Neodiprion lecontei: one gene and its partners. The main gene of each other region encodes a partner of the protein of the gene in region 2 in a complex. Links are inferred from orthologs where the notes say so. Each region holds a gene or a part of one and is shown on either strand. Other genes may lie near its edges.

The links.
Region 1: multifunctional methyltransferase subunit TRM112-like protein (region 2) and tRNA (guanine(10)-N2)-methyltransferase homolog share a complex: the UniProt entries of both Homo sapiens proteins name them as parts of the heterodimeric TRMT11-TRM112 methyltransferase complex. The link is inferred for Neodiprion lecontei from reciprocal best matches to the Homo sapiens genes TRMT112 and TRMT11.
Region 3: the proteins of multifunctional methyltransferase subunit TRM112-like protein (region 2) and rRNA N6-adenosine-methyltransferase METTL5 are in contact, whole or in part, in a crystal structure (PDB 6H2V), measured with the Homo sapiens proteins. The link is inferred for Neodiprion lecontei from reciprocal best matches to the Homo sapiens genes TRMT112 and METTL5. Residues at the interface, in NP_001359000.1 of Homo sapiens: Met1, Lys2, Leu4, Thr5, Leu8, Leu9, Ser10, Ser11, His12, Phe21, Pro22, Leu23, Pro34, Val35, Asn38, Asn40, Phe41, Arg44, Met45, Lys48, Glu92, Arg111, Gly112, Ile113, Pro114, Asn115, Met116, Leu117; in NP_001280115.1 of Homo sapiens: Asn52, Lys53, Val54, Gly75, Leu76, Val78, Ile82, Leu87, Asn91, Thr100, Ile102, Asp103, Met104, Val105, Gln106, Cys107, Asp108, Asn114, Arg115, Met116, Ser119, Phe120, Asp121, Arg150.

The regions. Positions count from the first base shown.
Region 1 is NC_060260.1:5,294,192-5,302,379, forward strand, and holds tRNA (guanine(10)-N2)-methyltransferase homolog, read left to right. Parts: upstream 1-2,528; 5' UTR 2,529-2,639; coding exon 2,640-2,705; intron 2,706-2,803; coding exon 2,804-2,869; intron 2,870-3,269; coding exon 3,270-3,515; intron 3,516-3,586; coding exon 3,587-3,721; intron 3,722-3,844; coding exon 3,845-4,108; intron 4,109-4,264; coding exon 4,265-4,403; intron 4,404-4,542; coding exon 4,543-4,741; intron 4,742-4,896; exon of another isoform or gene 4,897-5,041; coding exon 5,042-5,168; exon of another isoform or gene 5,169-5,303; coding exon 5,304-5,465; 3' UTR 5,466-5,755; downstream 5,756-8,188. Other genes in the region: protein Peter pan, read right to left, coding at 323-603, 691-1,027, 1,113-1,439, 1,533-1,743, 1,874-2,154, 2,372-2,389; ER membrane protein complex subunit 2-A, read right to left, coding at 6,190-6,363, 6,470-6,565, 6,695-6,851, 6,927-7,070, 7,185-7,335, 7,437-7,550, 8,056-8,089. UniProt on the Homo sapiens protein: Catalytic subunit of the TRMT11-TRM112 methyltransferase complex, that specifically mediates the S-adenosyl-L-methionine-dependent N(2)-methylation of guanosine nucleotide at position 10 (m2G10) in tRNAs.
Region 2 is NC_060261.1:39,651,948-39,658,760, forward strand, and holds multifunctional methyltransferase subunit TRM112-like protein, read right to left. Parts: upstream 3,752-6,813; 5' UTR 3,597-3,751; coding exon 3,519-3,596; intron 3,401-3,518; coding exon 3,299-3,400; intron 3,011-3,298; coding exon 2,816-3,010; 3' UTR 2,132-2,815; downstream 1-2,131. Other genes in the region: ER degradation-enhancing alpha-mannosidase-like protein 3, read left to right, coding at 5,056-5,177, 5,759-5,804, 5,882-5,982, 6,101-6,140, 6,584-6,696, 6,780-6,813. UniProt on the Homo sapiens protein: Acts as an activator of both rRNA/tRNA and protein methyltransferases. Together with methyltransferase BUD23, methylates the N(7) position of a guanine in 18S rRNA.
Region 3 is NC_060264.1:2,799,455-2,806,191, reverse strand, and holds rRNA N6-adenosine-methyltransferase METTL5, read right to left. Parts: upstream 4,009-6,737; 5' UTR 3,928-4,008; intron 3,430-3,927; coding exon of another isoform or gene 3,274-3,429; 5' UTR 3,230-3,273; coding exon 2,890-3,229; intron 2,814-2,889; coding exon 2,521-2,813; 3' UTR 2,434-2,520; downstream 1-2,433. Other genes in the region: alpha-aminoadipic semialdehyde dehydrogenase, read left to right, coding at 24-200, 320-536, 622-809, 902-1,101, 1,171-1,286, 1,411-1,539, 1,620-1,729, 1,799-2,059 and 1 more; protein HID1, read left to right, coding at 5,709-5,774, 5,871-6,230, 6,312-6,365, 6,439-6,662. UniProt on the Homo sapiens protein: Catalytic subunit of a heterodimer with TRMT112, which specifically methylates the 6th position of adenine in position 1832 of 18S rRNA.

The DNA.
Region 1 (8,188 bases), on a different chromosome or scaffold from region 2:
ATAAAGTTAGATGGAAGTTTATGACAATTCAAAATTTTTTCAAAATTCATTCGGTATTATTATTTTTTAGCTTCAAATAGTCCCGAATTTGCTTCTATTTGAAGTCCATCAAAATGAAAATTTATTTCGTAAGTTGTGAAAACATCTCTGTTTTATAATAAAAAGTCTCCATAGAATTTTATACTTTACGTACCGCCTCATTACCTTTCTGAAATCACAAGAATTGGCATAAGAAAATAACTGAGATTATATTATTATAAATTATAATGATGAAATAAATTTATTGAGTTTTCATTACAATTGTCATTACGTTGATATTTCTCTAGTTCCGTCTCCTTTTAATTTTACTGCCATGCGCAGATCCTTTTCCTTTGAAAAACTTTTTATTACCCTGTGATTTTGTACCACCGTCTTTAACGCCAAATTTCTTTTTTTGTCTGTAACTATACTTTTCATCATCATATCTGTTTTTATTACCAAACTGTTTATTCTTTTTGTCACCGTTTTTAACGTTTTTGTCGAGCCTCGATTTCTTTGTCTTGTATTTAACTGGATATGAATTTGGTCGCTTGTCACCAGTTTTTGGTCGCCCCGAAAACAAATCTGGAATACAAATGAAAGAGCACCTATTAACATTATTGTACAGAGATTAATTTAATGATATGAGTTTTGTTTGCACTACGCCATTACCTTTATCAGGTTCTTGGCCAACTTCCTCTCTATAATACTGTGCATCGTCGTCTTCCTCGACCTGATTGTCTTCGTAGGACTCTTTTGCAGCTTTGTGCATAAGCACGTCACTTTCCGATCTTTGTTTTTTCATACCCTTAAGACTTTTCTGTTTCTCCTCTTCCTTCATTGCTTCCTTTTTCTTTTTATTTTCTTCCTGTACCTTTTTCCGATTTTCTTTAAGCTTCTTTTTAACCTCACGGCTCTTTTGTATTTTGAGTATTTCTTCCTCGGTTTTATGCACAAATTCATGGTACATAACTTGTCCATCCAATAATCCATCTTCAACTTTTATCAGCTGAAACAGGGTTACAAAATATTTATTCTTTGCCTTTATCCCAAGTACATGAAATATTTATGAGAAAACTGGAATATATTTTTACCTGCATTGTTATTCGAGGCCCTAGTTCGATGAGTCTAATTGCGCTCGTGCCACTTTTGTGATTACCTCTGGACGATAATTTCTGGGGCAGGGTAACATGACTCGAGGGATCCTCTTCTGCTTCGCTTTCAGAGAATGTGGGTTTTGTAAGGAATTCTGAAAAGTCTTGACATTTAGAGAGATTGGGCACTTTAGCTTGTACTATTTTCTTAACTCCTTTTGATAGTCCAACTGGTACCATTTTTATAGCGTAATGCCTGAAGTCTATTAGCTTTGTCACACTGTTGTAGTTAAGACAAACACAACGACGAATTGTGCTGAGGTTTACCTAGAAAACAATCCCCAAAATCCGTTAAAAATTCCATGCCAGAGCTCTATATTCCTATGAAATAAAAAGGTATTCCAGGTTGAAAATACTTACAGTGGTAAGATTAATTGTTGGAAACATGTTTTGAAACATCGATGTCATGAGTTTCATTTGCATGCCTTCTCCGCTGAAATTATTCAATACCATCAATGGAGAGTGTTTGAAAGCTTCTTCAAAGACCATTTGCTTCTTTATCGTTGAAACTACATCTCTCGCTAGTGAGAAACTGGTTATTTTAAAAGATAGTGTGGGCCCTCTTGGTATTCTATAATTTTAAGTACAGGAATTAATGAAATCCTAAGTGGTAATCACTTATGGACAGTTTAAGAAGTCAAAATGTGACTGTAGATATGAAATTTTCAGATGCAAGCAAGATTTTGTAATACTCGTATTACCTACAAAGTTTCAGGTACATTCCCAGTTCTGTTCGTGTAAAAATGCACATATGAGAAACGTGGAGAGCACCAGAAACCGAAACGAAATCTTTAATCGTGTTTCGTTTCCGAGCTTTTAATGATGATGCTGTGTATGGTTCCATAACTCTTCGAAAATCCTTAGTTAACTCCAAGATATGTCCTCCTGGAAGTCCACGTTGTATAACAAAAGAATGAGGAGCGCGCACCAAATCCACAGGCTCTTCGCTGTTTATTTGTTTGTTCCGCTTTACGCAGCGGCCCTAAATACAGTATAAATCGTGAGTTATATTTGGATAGGTATCTATGTTTGATGTGTGACGAACCGATTTTTAGTATAAATTTATTGGTCTGTATGGGCAGAATTTTACAGATACTTTTATTGAGGTTATGAAGAGAGCACTAGATATTAATTATGTCTATATTTACGTTTACTAGGAATGTTATTTCATTCATTTGGGAGGAACAACTATCGCTCACCTTTTTCGAACGTCCCATCTTAGAAAAATTTTTCGAGAATAAAGTTTCGTAAACAAAATCTTGTACGCACGTTGCCGACGTGCTTCGTAACCTCAAATTTGGCAATCTGTGAAGTGTGCACTCTGCGCAAGTGTGGTCCACACACCACACATTGGTGGCATGGGTGTCAGGTTGGACAGCTGACGGGATTTAAAGTTGTGCTTGGCTTGTGCTTGTTTTGTAGTCGTTTACCCCATGAACATATTCAAGGATATCAATTGAACGAAAAATGATTGGAATTCCAAAAAAATATTTATTATGGTTCGCGCACGAGCACGTCGATTTCAGGATAGCGGTATGGAATTTTTCAAATTTGCAAACTTCCACTAGATAATGGTTGAATTAAATTGTCATTTTTGAGGTTAATGTTATAAAACCTCGAATTTGTAACAGGAAATCGAATCTATTTGTGAGATGTACGATATTAAAGTCACGACAATTCTGAGGCCTGACGAGTATGTAAGTAAATAAATAATTTTTCGACTACTCACCGACTTATCACTGCTACAGTTCCTACAATTTTTAGGTTATGTTATTATTCCACATCTGGTGAACATAATCGAATGTTCACCACTGTTGTTATCAATAAGTAGATGTTACATTAATGAACCAATCTTCAGTAATAGCTTTGCTCAAACCACAATTTTCCTGGGAGTATTAGCAAAATTGGATTGAAATGATGAAATTTTTTACATTTTCTCAAATCTTTTTGCTCACTGGCGCAACATTTCTATCATTGCTAACTTTTCTATAAAGTTTACCCCTTCATTAATATTTTCTTGGATTATTTCTTGATACATAATGTTTACTTTGTATCTGTACCTTTTAATTCATTGAAAAAAAATGTATTTAAATTTAGCCATATTGGATAATCGAGTCAGATTCAGAAGATGCTGTAAAAAAAATTGCTAGCAGATCCATATCGCTTCGTTCCTGCATTGAATTGTGGGGTGATGGGGGCAGCCATGAAGATTTGCACAGGAGTTTGAAGGAGTACCCGCAAGGAAACATGAGACTACATCTTAATAATGAAAAATCCTTCAAAGTTATTGTTGAAACATTTTGTAAGCATTTTTCACAAGATGAGAAAATTAAGAAAATAGAGGTAATGTACTATCTTGTATATTTGAAAAAACAAGGTGATCTTTACTATCTGATTCTGTGAATTAATTACAGTCCTTTAGTTATCTGCCAATAGAGGGTCCTGTAAATTTGCGAAATCCAGATACAGCATTGATGTATATAGAGTATTACGGACTAGATCCTAATACAATACCTGACAAACCTTATCACCTTTTTTTCGGAAGACTGGTAAGAATTATGAATTATCGTTTTGCGTGGATTTTATGATCAAATAAATTTTGAACATCGTTTTAAAATTGTCACGAAATCACAATAATCGTGAATCTTGATCATTTCACGTTATTTTTTCAGGTGGCTGATGGCCAGAGACAATTAATACGTAAACTATCTCTCAAAACGCGAAATTTCATAGGAAATACTTCAATGGATCCTCAATTATCTTTGATAATGGCCAATCAAGCGCAAGTAAAAAATGGAGATTTAATTCTCGATCCGTTTGTTGGTTCCGGGTCGCTACTTGTTGCAGCATCTCAATTTGGAGGGTACACTCTCGGTACAGACATAGATTATCTAATGCTTCATGCACGCACAAGGCCCTCTCGGATATCACAGAAGGTACACATCTTCGTTACTTTCATTAAAGTAGTTTTCTTTTATTCTTTCCTTATTGCTCAATATTGTTATTAACCGGAAACAACGATGGTCCTAAAACCATGTTACGGTCATGCCAATGCAAGAGCTTGAATGCCTTTAACTCTCTCTGTTTTTTAGACCAGAGGGAAAGACGAAAGTATAGCATCGAATATGAAGCAATATGGAACAAGTTCATATTACATCGATGTCTTAGTGACAGATTTCTCTTTACCTGTCTGGCGTTCAGACATGAGAGTCGATGCAATTATCACAGATCGTAGGTTCAATGCATCACATTATTATGATGGGCATACAATACAAGAGTTTAAAATCGATCGACATTGCGAATAGTAATGAATCCGAAAACTTCTTAGCAATTGAATTTCAGCTTTAAAATCATCTTAAATCTTGCACAGCTCCATATGGAATAAGAGAAGCAACGGAGCGTGTAGGTACCATAAAAAGACAGCCTGTAATCGACCAGCATCAAGTAGCTAGTCATATACCTTCTAAGATTGACTACGGGCTGCCTCAGATGTTCGTTGATCTGCTCTCATTTGCTGCGAATCATTTATGTATTAACGGCAGATTGGTATGCTGGTTTCCTTTGTTCAGGTAAGAACGTAAAAAATATGAGACTTATGATAAACTGACAACAGACTGCAGACATCAAATGGTTGAAATTTTCGATGACTATATATTTTTTTGATAATTCTGAAAAAAAAAAACAAGGTTCCATTTGCTACTAAGACCCTTTAAGCCGAGTCTGCTGTATTTCAAAATATGTTTTAATTTTATTTATTTTAATACAAACAATCCATAAACAACAAATGTTGCACATATTAATAATTTAAGTAATAAAAATAATGTGCTGTGTTGAATGTCATGTAATTGAACGTATACATGATCCTACAGGGAACACTATGCAGACGAGCAGCTTCCTTCACATCCATGTTTGCAATTAATTGCCAATTCGGAACAGATTCTGAGTACATATACAAGTCGCCGCTTGCTCACTTATAAGAAAATTCGAGATCCTCAGGTACATAGGAGCATCATGAATTTGCAAATTTGAACAGTTGGTAGAAAGATTTCATTTCGCTGTCTGAAATGAACCTTACAGAATCCTATATATTTTTGTTCTAAGCGTAAGATTGACAGTTTTTGTTCTTTGTAGGATGATGATCCAATTGATGATTCGAATGTATTAGACTTCCGTGTAAGATATTTCGGACATGGAGATGAAACAAGAAAAGAAAGAAGAATGAAGAGAGCAGAACAGAGGGCAAAGAATAAAGAGAATTGGGAAAAAAATATTAAGTCAAAAACTGCAAGATGACTAAATCTTTTTTATATGTAAAAGTGGTAAAAGTTTATTTAACAAACCTGCTTTTTACTTTATTTAAAACGCACTTTTACACGAATAAAAATATTTTTTTACCATTTATTATTTCTCAGCAAAGACATCATGCGAGTAGAAATTGCAAACGTGGTCTTTTTTCAAAATACCACAGTATTTTTAAAGGTGCTATTCGACTTCAATTCTCAAGGTCGCCTAAATGTTGTTCATGTACCGTCACATCAAAAGCTCTTCACGTATAGATCCCGTTTCAAAACATACGTAGACATCCATGGATGTCAAAAGCAAATCTATGAACTCATGTTTTGTCAGACCGACAGTAAATAATCGGTATTATTATTTATTTTTTCATTCAATAAATTTAATATTCATGATGAATAATATTAAATAACAATATAAACATATTCTTTTAGAAACCTTCACAAATAGGAAATACAACTACTGGAAAGATAATTTCTTACAACAGTGCCATACACGAAATACATCATATTTACGTACCATGTGGAGTTCAAATAAAATGCAAATAAGCAGTGTGTATACTTATGTATACTTAACTTGATAAATATGTATACTGTATGCATATGTGATATACTAGGAAGGTTTCATAGTTCCAATGGATCAATGTTTCAAACACATCAGTAGATAGCATCTCTCCGTACATCCATCAGCGTACCAAATACATATACATTCATATAATATATGTCTATGACTCTAATTGTAATTGCCCTAGTACATCTACAACATTTTTAACATCTTTTTCTGTCGCTTTTAATGCATACCTTTTCTGAATTTGAGTTGCAGCCCAATTGCCAAGCTTTATTGCATCCTTTTTCTTTGAAGCAGGACACTTTGCTGATAAAGCAATGTTGTTTGCCACCTATTTAAGTTAGCAGATAGTATTATTCTCAAATCGTCTACTATTTCCGACAAATTTTCTGCCCTAATATAATTTGCTTATATAGAGAACACTTCTGAAAACTTACCAATAATAGCCCATAAAGTGCTCGTACGTTGTTGGGATTCAACTTGATTGCTTGAGCGAAATAAGTTTTTGCCAATTCCATATTATCGAATCCACCCTAGATGATAAAATATTAGATTTGTTAAATTTATAGGACAGCAAAATTAGAGTACTTAATCTTTACTTGAAGTGAATATTTCATTTCTATTTAGGTAATACTACAGAAGAGATGCGTTCATTCACTAACCTGGGTATACTTAATTTCTGCATATCGCTGATAAATCAAATGACTATGAGGGTTGTGCAAAATTAATTCTTCCATGCAAAAAGCTGCTTTAGCATACTCTTGCTCTTGCAGGTATAAATCACACAATTCGTGCCATGCTTCTTGGTCACTCATGAACCTGTTTAGAGAATGTCAGTATTTTAATCAAATGAGTAACAGGTTTTACAACTAATTCCTGATGCGGATGACTAACTTTTTCAAATACTCGGTGAGTTCTTTTATAGCTTCAGTTATTCGACCTTGTGCCTTTAGAATTGCCAATCTTCTTTTTCTTGGTGCTGCGTTAGTTTCATCTCTTTTGATTATGGAGTCCAAAATCTTGAGGGCCTCATCGTATCTGCAAATGAACACATTATTTGTGCCAAGTAATTAGAGATCATAGAATATATATAATCATGGCAATTTTCAGTGCATCATTATAAAGTTAATGTAAAATGGTTATATGTAATACTTTTCCAAGGCTTCCATGTGCATTGCGTGATATTTCAGCACCCTCAGGCTGCCTGGAAATTCTTGCTCCAATAAATCAATACATTCTTTGGCAACTGATAAACGATTGCAATCCAAGGCAGCCACACACACTTGTTCTAAGACTAAATATTCTATAAAATAATAAATACCGCAATATGAAGGTCAATTTTCACGTAATATTTCATTTTAGGTAAGGGTTAGATGAATAAATATTTATTATGAGGATTTTTACTTTCGTTTCCTAATTTATGGATCTTCTCTATTAATATGGATTCCCATAGCTCAACCACATCTTCACTCTTGCGTTCAGAATCTTCTCGCCAAGTTCTGAACAAGTCTCGTACATCTGTGGATTTGATTTGAAAATTGATTAGCCGTATAAATTTTTACGTACGGTAAAGTACTGCGATGCAGTTGGCTATGCATGCACATATTTGCATTTAGTCTGATACTTGATTTTTCATCATATTTAGTATGAAACAAAAATTTGCAACTGTGATATTGTAGCGAGATATAGCTTTATGATTTTGTTTTTGAAATCTCAGGCTCGTACAACGTGTCCCCAATTAAATATTATACACGTTATGTAAAATACCTGTCTTAATACATATGATAATATATAAATATGTATTTAAATCTAGTTGATTATGTAATAGTTGGGTAATGAGGCAATATGTAGCATGAAATTCAGAAAAATGAATATTGATACATTAGCGTTACATATTGACTTACTTGACAAATAGAGGCATGTAAGCTCGAGTATCGAGCTGAGTTTAGGTTTGATTTTTCAATATGTGCATGTAAAGAGGACAATGTCATCGTCAATTTATCAACTTATTATAAAGACGTACCTGTCCAAGACATATTATCATAATTCCATGGCATTTTTTATCTACCGAACAGAAGACCAACAGCCAACAATACGAAAAATTATTCAGTCAATTGGTCAATAAAAGTTGATTACTTAAATCGAGGTTATACGAC
Region 2 (6,813 bases):
AGTCTTGCTACTTGTTACAAATATAAAACACAGCTTTTAGACATATACGTACATGCATACATATCTACAATATTCGGTAAAAAATTGTAAAGATAATCGTCGGCATTGTAAATCTGCACTCGGAACATTTTTCGTGTGCATAATTTTGACGATATTGCCAATTATAGATCAATGAGGTTTGCAGAGACTATTGAATGAGACTGTTGGAAGATATTAGTTATAATTCGTAATCAAGTGAGAATAAAATCCCTCCTTTAAATTGTATGAAAATTTCGTTAAGAAACAGTGTGTTCTTTACAATGTCATTTTTGCTGCATCAGTAATACTTCCCTAAGTTGCAAATAGTTAATTGAAATAAAAAAATTAGTCGAAGTCATTGGAATGGCACTTAATTCCAATAATATTGGATGAATCTTGTAAACTTGCTATGGTCGCATTTGTATGACTTCTAGTAACTTTTATCTGATTGTTACACAAAATTTTGCCTACAGAATTAAAATATAGGTAGAATAAGACGTCCAGTTATATGTAATGCATAGCAGTTTACATTCTAGATGATACATTCCCATCCAATGTTGAATATTAATTATGAATTGAAAATTCTCTATTTTGCCAATACATGCATAAATCTGATTGTTATATAGATAAAAAAATGTCTTGTTATTTATGAGGAGGAAAGACATGTGTAATACTACGTGTGAAACGAATTGTGCCATAGTTGAAATGATGAAGAGGTATTTTTCTTATCTTGATCCAAATATAATCCTGCCTTCAGAAAACTTAATATACAATATTTGTATGTGAATACTAAATATGATAAATAAGGGAGGGCTGTGGCTGAAATGTTAGTAGGTCAGAGCTATTTTTATAGCTTATTCTTTTTTGACGAAACTAAGATGGGTGAAATAATATATTTTGACTATGTATTTACGTACTATCGCATATGGCTAAGTATATAAAGGTGTGGGATGATTCTTGACTTTAGCATAATTCTTGATAAGTGTCTGCAAGGATGTAACTGTCCTTCTCTATTCAAAATTATTATGTCACTACATATTCAGATAATTCAACGGGTGAATGTTGTAATACGTAGTTCCATTTTTTTAAAGCGATGCACATATTACCCGGATCAGTTTACTTTGGAAAACTTCAAAACATTTTATTTACAGCAAACGAATAGGTCGTGATGATCACATTAATTTGCAAATGCCCCACATCTTATGTACCTACGCCAAGCTCCTTAAAGAATTAATAATTAGAATATAAATACCTTATAGTCTCATGTAGTTGTATTTCCTTAAAATTCAATATGAAGAATATTGTGATCGTATGGAAAAAAATATGATTCTAAATATTATTGACTCTTGTGTTTTAAATCTTGTTAGTTGAAATACACAACTATAAACTGGTGCAATAATAACATCATTTGAAATACAGTAGCATGCTAAATGTCAAAATTGTGTGGAACTTGTAATAATTCGTCTTGTATCATAAGTATAAATGTTTGTTGACTTGTAAAGTTGGAATTTTGTCAACATTACTCATTTTACTTAATTCGTATATTTAATTTTTCTGAATAATCTTTTAAATATTTACTTATATAGACAAGAAATGCGTGAGAAGATTACTCTCAGTTGCCATTGTGACGATCCACGGTGGATCGTTTAAACATTTTAGCAGTCAGCTAGATGATTTAATACTCCTTAAAAAATATAAAAGCCAAAAGAGACAAACTACAAACCGTAAACGTTTATCAAGTATAAGAAGCAAGAAAGTACTAGTACCAAAATGTTGTATTCTAGTATAATTTACAATTTTATTGATAAGCATAATTAAACAAGTCACTAATTCTGTAGCAATAAAACGCAGACATTTAAACATCTGCATTTGTACCACAGTTATCACTGGTCAAAGAAAATTGTATTTCGTTGTATACCTATACATATCTGTGCAATAAAAAAACTATTTAATCACACATGCACAATCCTCTCATCTTCTACTACAAAATTATGATACATTTGTATTTTTTACCTTTTAGAAATTGCCTGATATTGTTTACAATTATAAAAACCACTCTTTACTATAGAAAATAAGATGATGGATAGGATCGAACAATTAATTTATCTGAAGGTGATTTGTAACTTTTTTATTGATTTGGCATATTGTTGCAATGCTTACTGATTCTTCATTACAAACAATTAATTTTGCCATTTACTTTTGAAGACTTAATGTGAAGATATGAAATCTAATAACATGTAGTTAAGTTACTAGTTTTAACTCTAAAAGACAGTCATCATTATTCAAGACAAAAGATTATAAATAAATAACGTTAATGATGCATCTATTTACTACAAAATTTACAATGACTGAAATTAAAGATAATTACGTGAAGTACGTAGAATTATTATAAGAGACACGTGTAAATTGACAATAGCGCCAAAATAGTTCGAACAAAAATTCTTGCAAGAATATACATATATTCTACTGAAATATAAATAAATGCTGATCTTTTTTGAACACTTTTAAATGCGAGTTCCTTTAGATGCATCTATAAATGACCGAGGCATTAGTTATAGTAATAGGTATCTCTTTAAATCGCATATTCTATATTCTGTATAGAATTTTCTATAGACAGAGAAGACTATTCATCATTAAATGGCTGAAATGTAATATCGACTTGTTTTTCTAAACTAATAGTAATATTGAATAAAGTGGCAATGTACAAGGATTTTTTAATGAAAAAGTTATCGATATTCCATCAATGTACGATCTTGTCAAGATTTTTGGTAGGAATATATATGACTACAGCTTATTTCTACACTTCATCTTCATTGAGTAACATATTTGGGATCCCGTCATTTATTGGAAACTTTCTTCCTGACTCAGGGCACAGCAAGTCGCCATTTATCACTTCAACTTCTAACAAAATGTGATGGACTTTTTTAAGGAAATCTTCATTTTCTTCAAAATCTTCCACAAGTGTCTGTGGTAGCTCACCAACATGACCAATCTGTAAATTTGGGTAGTTGTTAATTTAATTCCAGAAGCTATTAATTTTTTAACTATGATAATTCAGTGAAAAAAGCTCTCAAGTCAAATTTGCATCTGGAGAGTTGGTCGTTACATGTATAGTATTGTTGTTTCACCATAAACAATTCAACACGATTAAAGATAAGGAAGTGATTATCGCCTGCGTCTAAATGTATAGATCGTTGCGTTGTCTATGCATGTAAGAAGTTATTCAATAGCAAGTTTTGAGCTAATCTTGCTTTAATTTATTAAAGAATTGGTGACCTACGCTCTCAGCTGCTTTCCACAGGGTGGCCCAATCTAATTTGGGAATAATTCTGGCGATGAATTCGGAATTGAAATCAACTTCTGAAACCTTGATATCCTTGGCCTGGAAATAAATGAACCGTGTGAAGGTTTTGGAATGAGGGTTAATGTGGTGCTTATGAACTTCATAACCTCAAAAATGTACCGCACTCGTTTCAAGATTATCGAAGCGGTTTTCTTACCACAATCGCTAAAGGGTATCCTACTGTAACGCCTTTCAAACATTTTGACGTCAACATGTTATGGGTTAAAAGCTTCATTTTTGTTCAGGCTTACTTATAACTAACACGCTGAAAAAATTATTTATATGCACTGCAAACGGTCGCACCGTTATTTTGACATGTGTCGTCTGTCGATAAAATCGAAAGGTTTTACTTTGAGATCCTCTGACGGTCATTTAAGTAACCAAAGTGTCCCATTCTCATTCTGCATGTGGATCAAAACCAGACAGCGTTTATTCATGAATAACGGTAAAAGTTGGCTTTTCCAAGACCGCGAGACTCTGGTTTTTGAAACAAGTATGATGTATGTTTAAAAATCCCTAAAAGTACCACGTTTGCGAAACCATGAATTGCCAGAGTCTCGGTTCTTAAAATCTGAAGTTATATCAGTAGTCTTTCAAATAAAATATTTCATCACATTTTCGACAAGGCTGTACAAGACTTACAAGTTTCGATGCAAGTTTGATTGTTTGTGACTCAGACTGTAGAATCCGAGTTCCACATCCGCGCAACAGTGGGAGTGAATAATGGATTGCTCTTATTCTTTGAGCGGATTTACTTTACTCTAGTTTTTATCACTAAGGTTAGGTTGCGGATCACAAACTGTTAAATTGGTTCAACGTTATTGTTAAATTCTATGAACAGTGTGAATAAAATTGGAACGTTAAAAATCAAACACCTCGAAAAGGTGTATAAATGTATTTCGGCTATGTAAGGTAATATAAGTAAACATACGTATACCTAATACTCGTTCTACAAATCGACGGACTTTCTCAACTGGGTTTGTGAAGTGTTTGATGTTCGACTGACAGCCACATCATCTGGCCTTGATAAAAATGTGTAATCAGTTGTGAGGTGTGTTGAGTTTATTTCTTATCGTGCTTCTGCACCATCTGGCAAGTTACGAACTGGTAAATTTTTACGTAAATACCTCGGTAATTCGTCACAAGAATTATATATTTAACGTTATTTTGAAACCTTATGCTGTCTCATTATACCATTATTATTGTTCTCCGAGAAATTGTTAGTTCCTTCACTGAGGGAAAACATTCTCCTACACACAAGTACTAGTAAATATTACCGCCCAAAAACAATAATAGACATCAGTGAGATAAGTAAAAATAGTTTTTCACCAGTTTGGAACTATCTGTAACAAATAGAAGTGTGATAAGTAAAAATTGAAATACAAAAACAATAAAACGAACAATAATAAGAATTGGATCAACCAGCAAATTAGGTAAATACTTACTGTATATAATAATAATAGTAATCATAATAATAAGATCAACAGGCTTCAGATGACGATAAACAGACACGTACTAAGAAATTGAAATTTGCATATGAAGTTAAAAACCTTCAATGTAGAAAGTAATATATATCGATTAATTACAGTTTGAACTTGACTACGTTCGGATCCAAATCATCGCAAAACTATGCCCTATCATTTTCTGAAAGTGTTGATATCTTGACAACAGAAAATAGAAAGTGATCAATTAAAATGGCTCATGCTGCATCGATATGTGGGATCCTACTCTTTGGATGTGCTTTCATATCGATAGTAAGAGCTTCTGAGGATGACCCCATTGAGTACATGAGCAAGGAAGAACGAGAAGCGTTAAAGTGAGTATTTATATTTGGCATGAATTATTACTCGTGTCACTATCCAAACAGATTTATGTAATATTTTATCTATGGGCGTTTTAACGAAAAATTTCTTTCACCGTTACTGAGAGGAAGGCATGATTTTGGAGGAGTAGTAAAATATTGATAGCAGTTATCTATTCACATAGGAAACTGTACTTGAAGTTTCTTTTAACTACTGGGAAAATTTATATTCCAAACTTTGGGTAACAGTGAAATATTTTCTATTTATTAACTAGGCCTATTAAATTTCTGGACAGAAAAAAATAAATATTTTTGCTGTATTTGGAAGGATATTACAATAATTGAAAGCGTTGGATTTTTCAAGGTTATTCCAGCCTTACTGTCACTTTTTTGGTGGTTGATTTTTTATTGATATAAAGGTCAAGCAACTTTCTTAACTGTAAACGGTCAATACTTATTATACTCACAGTTAGCAAACACTTTGCCCGTATCTTGCAAGGTTTTGCAACGATATCTAGAATCAAATTATTTACGTATGGCCAAATGTTTTGTTTAAAATGTAGATAGGTTTGACAAAACTGGTGATTTCTTTTTAGGGAAGAAGCACGGGACATGTTTTATCATGGATACAATGCTTACATGGTAAGTATTTGAAATCCTAAGGTTCTTAGATTTGTAAAGTGCTGAATAAGCGTTTCTTAAATTGCAATTTTTTAAAGGACAATGCATATCCGGCTGATGAGCTGATGCCATTGAGCTGTAAAGGGAGATATCGAGGATCAGAGCCAGATAGAGGTGATATTGATACTACGCTCGGCAAGTAAGCAATATTTGGAGATATTTATCACAAGCAATGATTCCAAAATTCAAATCATTCGTCAGTTGTATAAAATTCTAAGAATCGATAAAGTCTAAAGTAATTGTTTATTGAATTTCAGCTTCTCATTAACACTGGTGGATGCAATGGACACTCTTGTGGTGAGTGATTGAATATTATGTAGAACTGACAATTGAAGTTGATGTTCTTCAATTATTTGCAATTGGAAAATTCTAATGTTTCAGTTACAGTATTCTAACAATTCTACATACCATGAAATTTGATTTTGAATTGCAGTTAAAGACATTGCATTATGCGCCAAATGCAGTCAAACCTCACAATTCGACGTGAATATTGAGAGTTTTGTATTTGTTATAAAATGTTTCTCACGTTTTTAGCGTTTGGATTGATTATTGCACGCAAAAATAATTCGCTTAGCTTATGATTGCGATTTACATCAAGTAATCTGATTGGAATAAACAACGTCTTGGAATATTATTGATTTATTTTTACTCATCACTATATTTCTGTAAATCTGAGTATTTATTTGGTAGTCTGCACATTTTCACATCGACTCTATTAAATAAATTTAAAAACTTTTTAGCTATTGGGTGACTTGGAAGAATTTCAAAATGCCGTCAAGTTGGTAATCAGAGACGTATCTTTTGAGACAGACGTGATTGTCTCCCTTTTTGAAACCAACATAAGAGTACTTGGGTAAATAGAATCAATGAACTTCCAAATATACTGTATTTATAATAACAATGTGCTTAACTTATATTTTATATTTTTGATAACAGAGGACTGCTGAGCAGTCATATACTAGCTGAATAC
Region 3 (6,737 bases), on a different chromosome or scaffold from region 2:
ATTCTTGGGAAACATAGTCGACAATGGCGAGAATCTTGCTGTCAATAAGAAACTTTGGCCGATTTACCGGCAAGCAGAAAGCAAGATTTATTCCTATCAGAAATCTGTCATCTAAGTCGGAATTAGCTTTTTTAAAAGAACTCGAAATTGGACCCGATAATCTTGGATCGTTTGATGGCAGTTGGGGTGGTTCAGGCCCGGTGAGTTGACCCGACGATAATCAAGGTTTGAAAAGCCGAGTTTTACAAGAGAGCCGCATCTCTTATAATTATCTTGCATCGTTGAATTAAATATTACCTCGGAATTCAAATTTTGATAGGTAATAGAGTCCATCTCACCGGGTAATGGTGAGGTGATAGCAAGGGTCCATTCCTCGACGCCTGATGAGGTGGGGAACGCAATAACAAAAGCGAAGGAGTCATGGCCCCAGTGGGCATCGATGCCGGCTCCAGCCAGGGGTGAAATTGTACGCCAAATTGGAAATGAGTTGAGAAAAAATCTAAAGCCGCTTGGAAAGTTGGTATCGTTGGAAATGGGTGAGGCCTGTAACTGGTGACGAAAGTATTTCATAATCCAATTGTGATAGTTGCTAAAGGGAACATCTTCACTTCCATGACACAGGAAAGATTTTAGCTGAGGGCATTGGTGAAGTACAGGAGTACATTGACGTTTGCGATTACGCTGTTGGGCTGTCTAGGACTCTGCCAGGAAGTCTCCTACCTTCCGAAAGGAAAGATCATGTGCTACTGGAAAAATGGAATCCACTAGGCGTAGTCGGAGTTATCTCTGCATTCAACTTTCCCGTTGCAGTAATCCTAAATAAAATAAAACTTTTCATATCCAGAAATCCAAAACATCTGAAAATACAAAGAATTTTAATTCAATCTTACCCCTGCTAAAGGTTTACGGATGGAACAGCGCCATAGCCATGGTTTGCGGAGACACGCTGGTCTGGAAAGGAGCCCCGACTACGCCCTTGGTTTCAATTGCGACAACGAAAATTGTCGCCAAGGTCCTCGAACGTAACGGGATCCCTGGCTCAGTTGCATCGCTCATAACTGGTGGGACAGATGTTGGGGAACTGCTAGTCAATGACAATCGGTAACTGAAATATCTCTGTAATGAGTTCATCGATACTGCATACTACAAAGAAACAATCTGTTATTCTAGTGTACCGTTGATATCGTTCACGGGAAGTACGAAGGCTGGAAAAAATGTCGCTTTAAAAGTTCAAGAGAGATTTGGCAAATCGCTTCTAGAATTAGGTGGCAACAATGCACTGATTGGTAATTAAAATAACAAGTTACACATATTTCTGTAGAGGCAGAAAATGTCCGGTTTAGAATCATAGTCGATAGATTGTTGGTTTTTTAAAATTTAATAAATTTACAATTCACATTGAAATTTCAGTCACCAAGGACGCAGATTTAGATATGGCAATTCGAGCGGCTGTATTTTCCTGCGTTGGCACAGCAGGACAAAGATGCACAACTACTAGGAGGCTGATTTTGCAAACCGACATTAGGACAGAATTCTTGAGTACACAGTTTTGATCTACTACCAACTCGTAGAAAGATCTCAATAAATAGTACTTGTTTCCAATCTTTCGTTAATTTTAGAGAGGCTCAAAATGGCATTCGCAGGCATTCTTGGTAGGATTGGAGATCCTATTGAAGAGAGTACCCTCTACGGACCTTTGCATAGTCCTGCAGCGGTAGAGGCCTACAAGGTGAGACGATTAAGTACAAAATAAGCTTAATTGTTAAGCATACCAAAATCAAAATACTGCTTGTTACAGCTGACTGTCGAAAAAGCAGTAAAGTCTGGAGGGTGCATAGAATTTGGTGGAAAAGTGATTGACCGGCCTGGTTTCTATGTTGAACCAACTATAATATCTGGCTTACCCGCTAGTTCAGATGTTGTTAGACATGAGACGTTTGCCCCGATTGTTTACATCCTTGAGACGAATTCATTGGAGGAAGCGATAGCCGTAAACAACGACGTGGAACAGGGACTGAGCAGTTCCCTCTTCACTAACAACATTGGAGAATTATTTAAGGTATTAAGGTTTACAGTGCTTCATTGAAATCTGATTTTGGAAAAAACAAACGGTATTAATTGTGAATCACCAATTTTTATTTTCCACAGTGGATTGGGCCCCTTGGTTCTGATTGTGGGATAATAAACGTAAATATCGGGACTAGCGGTGCAGAAATTGGAGGAGCATTCGGTGGAGAAAAGGCAACTGGCGGAGGACGAGAGAGTGGGAGTGATGCGTGGAAGCACTATGCCAGACGGGCAACAATAACGATCAACTACGGGAATGAATTACCCTTGGCTCAAGGGATCAAATTCGAGTGAACTATGAAAAAATCAAACCATAATTTATGCGAGTAGGAATAACAACGAAACATAACAAAAGAACCACAACACTATTTCTGTACAAATTTATTAAATCTTCCATTATACTTACACATAGAAATTGATTAGTGATGATGAATGCTTTTTCATGTTGTTTACCTAATCTAATTCAAGTCTTATGAAATCAACTTGGACATCCACGGAAGTATTTTTGTGAAACTTGTACGCTCGAGGAAGATCGTATCGCAATTCAGCGACAACTTTTGCCGTTGTTCCAAGGCGTTTTGCAGTCCTAAGCACATGATCGCGGGTGCTAGTCTTGTGGAGAGAGTAGACAGCATGTCGTGCAATACTGACTGCAGTCTCCAAAAACTTCATGTCTGTTCCAGCATTGCGTTTTGTGCCAAAAGGCGGATTCATCACAACTGTATCAAAGTACTTCTCAAATCTACCTAAAATCAGTGATATTTATTATTCACATAATGACCCTCGAATCATTGGACTATGAATTATTAGATCTCAACTAACCGGGCAAGTAACTAAGTAAGTCACAGTGAACTGCCTCGACATCAGTTTCTAATTCAAGGCAATTACTTCTGAGTATAGACAGTGCATCAGCATCAATTTCAAACCCGACGACATGACTGGCGCCGAGAAGTTGGGCCCCAAGTGAGAGTACCCCACATCCTGCACCCAAGTCAGCAACAGCCTTTCCTTCTATATCGTCGAAGTGTGTATATGCTGTGTGCAGGATGTGCGCCCCAATGTGAGCGCTCGTAGAATATTGTTCAAGCCAAATTTTTGGCTCTTCAAATCCATCCAATTGTTGAAGATACTCTTCCAGCTCTCTTAATCGCATGGGTGCCATTTTGGTCACAATAACCGTTCTTGAATAATACGCCTGATAGTAGTTCACTTGGTCTCAAACCGAGGGAGTACTGGCAGGATCAAGTTACCAAAGGACGAGTCCTGGGTGACAAAGAATCCAGCAGAGGCTGCATGAGCGTTGTGAAGAGCTGCGCGTTGAGAAGCACTCAATGCTATACCGTCCACCGTTGTTGCGGGATTCTGTTGATAATGTAAAATATATAAAACGTGATAGTGTTGCCATCCACGTGAATTCAAACCAGGGTGTAAAAATAATAGGTGGCAAAGAGAAAATTATCTAGGTTGATGAAAACGTAACTTTTAGCAGTTTGAAATTCATAACGTCGACGCATAGGGTACTTGGAAATAGCACAATTTTGTGACTCAAATCTTGTTATAATTGCAAAATAAACGAGACACAATGTTGTAACCAACTTGGAAAATTATGTAGTGTAGTTTACTGCTTTTGAAACGTTCGACCACTCAAGTTCAAATTTTTTCCATTATTCTGTTGCATCAATGTTACAAACCTCAATCTCATAGGTTTATTATGACTTCTATTTAGTTTATGTTACTTTATATATTTCATATATTTAAAAATTTATTATCATTTTTTGGTATTTTATGTTTTCAAATGCAACTTCTAGTCATATTTTTTATAAATATGACACGCTCATCTCATGATTAACCTAAAATTACCTTCCTCTCTTTCGGACACTGCATGCCGCCATTATTGTTTACAATGGTCTTACAGACCCGTAGCCGTTTAGTGGACAAGTACCGAATTATGCAAAAATAATCACAACCGCCGAGCCGCAACATACCTATTATTTTTCCACGATGATTCAAAAAAGACATCCTATTATTCTTACACCGTGATTCAAACTAGACATCCTGTTATTCTTACACCGTGATTTAAACTAGATATCCTATTATTCTTACACCGTGATTTAAACTAACAGAACGTAACCCAACCTCATCCGAAACTCAAGAATTTGTTTGACGGACGTACCTGAGTCGCAGCAGAAGTAGCGGGTGGTACAGCGAGCGGAGTTAAAGAAGTTCCAAGGGTAGGCGCAACGCCCTGCTTCAAAAGTAGCTGCTTCTTCAACTGTATTTCTTCCAGTATCTTTCTGTTTTGTAGCTCTGGGAGAAAACAATATACGTGGAATCGCGATAATTTTTGGGACTTTCAATTAACGAATAACCACGTATGAAGTATCTCAGCTCCTTACCTCTCGAATTTGGTTGCGAAAAAGCCATTTGGTAGGGATACCAAATTTTAGCAGCTGAACCTGCCGAACGTTTTAATCTAATATCTCACGAGTCACTACGGTCACGACCTACTCGTATCAATGCCTAGCCACAACTAATTGTGAAATCGCGGCGGCGTCACCAGAGTACTGCGAATAGGCCGCGACGATAGCGCTAATAGGCGTGCCGTGGTTGAAAGCAGTACTGAACAGGGAACCAGCTGGCAATTTCCAGGCCCTGGTGAGAGCGCGGTTAACTATCAAAGATGAGGGGATCTCTGTAACAATGTAATCACCCTCAATTATTATGTAAAAATCAAAATACAGCTACTTTGCAAAAAATGATAACAATCGAAAAATAACAACAATATGATTAGAACGTGACGAATTCGTTCGCTGAATTAGCGGTAAATTGTTAACGTAGTGACATCTCAATCATATGTAGATTATTTATACGGAGCAAAGTGTGAGACGATTAGATATGATAATTTGATAAATTAGTCGGTACGTGAAGACGAGGGTCGGTAACACTATATTGCTCATCTCTCTCCAGCGCACAAGATAGAGAAAAGACAAAATATTTTTGTAGACGCAACAGTCGGCATTGTCGGTACTGCAGAATGCACAGTGATCAATTATCCTTATAAATGTTGGTAACTCGCTATTCAATTTTTCTGACACATATATTTCCATATAGCCTGCTCTCTTTAGTGGGATATAGATACTAATTATTCAATGGTACATACATGCATACACGTCTGACATCCGTCAATTTCAGAGTGGTTTCGGTTATCTTGCCGCCGTACACAATCAGTATTTGTAATCGTGTCAGAAGAATATTCAGAATATGTAGAGCAGTGAAAAGATTACAAAGTGAAAATGAAAGTATAAACGTACATAATTATACACTGGATTTAGGACCGACAGCCACGTAACATAGTTATCAATCGTTAAAAGGTGTCGAGTGGTTGTCTCACACCCACGCTAATTCTACTTGAATCGCTTCGCCTCTATCCCGTCTCGGCGATGAATACCCCGACGATACGTTGTCTTCGCGTCGATATCCCATCAGGGTGAACCCGGAATCGACGGCCAACTGCTTAATCGGCCTACGACTCGTCCACCGTTGCCGTCGGTTACGCGCTGCGACACATCTGCGAGCAACGATCCCCTGAAAACTCCGTACGAATTATTTATACACACAAGTTTTTAGCAATTTGTAAAACCATGGGAAACGCTGACACGAAGTTAAATTTTCGCAAGGCCGTTGTTCAGCTGACATCCAAGACCCAGGTGAGGAGAATCAAAACTTTCTGACACATGGAATCTCTCGGTTTCATCAAATTCACTTACGTTAATCAAAACGTGTTACAATACCATTGATTCCAGCCCATAGACGCAGCAGACGACACATTCTGGGACCAATTTTGGTGTGAGAACGTGGTGAACGTTCAGGATATATTCACTTTGATACCCGCGCCAGAGATCAGGGTGCTCAGGGAAGAAGCCCCATCAAATTTGGCAACGCTATGCTACAAGGCGGTAGAGAAACTCGTTAAAGCAGTCGACAACAGCTGTCGAACGCAGCGTGAACATCAAATGGTCTTGAACTGCTGCCGGCTGCTAACCAGGCTTCTACCCTACATATTTGAGGATCCTGACTGGAAGGGATTCTTTTGGTCGAGTTTACCTGGCAAAGAAGACGAAGAGAGCATCCCTCTTGCTCATTCTCTACTCAACGCGATATGCGTAAGTATTGGGACATTGGTTTATGTTGAAATTTGTGTTCACATTCTGACTATGTGAATAATTAACTTGATTTCCTTACAGGATTTGCTCTTTTGTCCTGACTTTACTGTGGCTGCGAATAGAAAATCAGGACCGGTAAGTTGGGCAAAAAGAAACAAAAGCAGATTTTTAAATGTAATTTTGACAATGCTTCTGTTGCTTTCTTTAGGATAAAGCCGAAGAACTACAGTCGATAGATAGCTGCGAATACATATGGGAAGCTGGTGTAGGATTCGCACATTCTCCACCAAGATATCCATACTTGGACTCAAACCGAACTGAACTCTTGAAACTCCTGCTCACTTGCTTCAGTGAGACTATGTACAACCCTCCTACAGACCTTTCGGTAACACCCAATCGGTGGATCGCTCACCTCACCAGTACCGAGAACAGGTATCAATGGGTTAAACACGCATTCAAGATTCAAGGGATCCTAAATTCCTTATATAGTTGAACAGAAGGTGATAG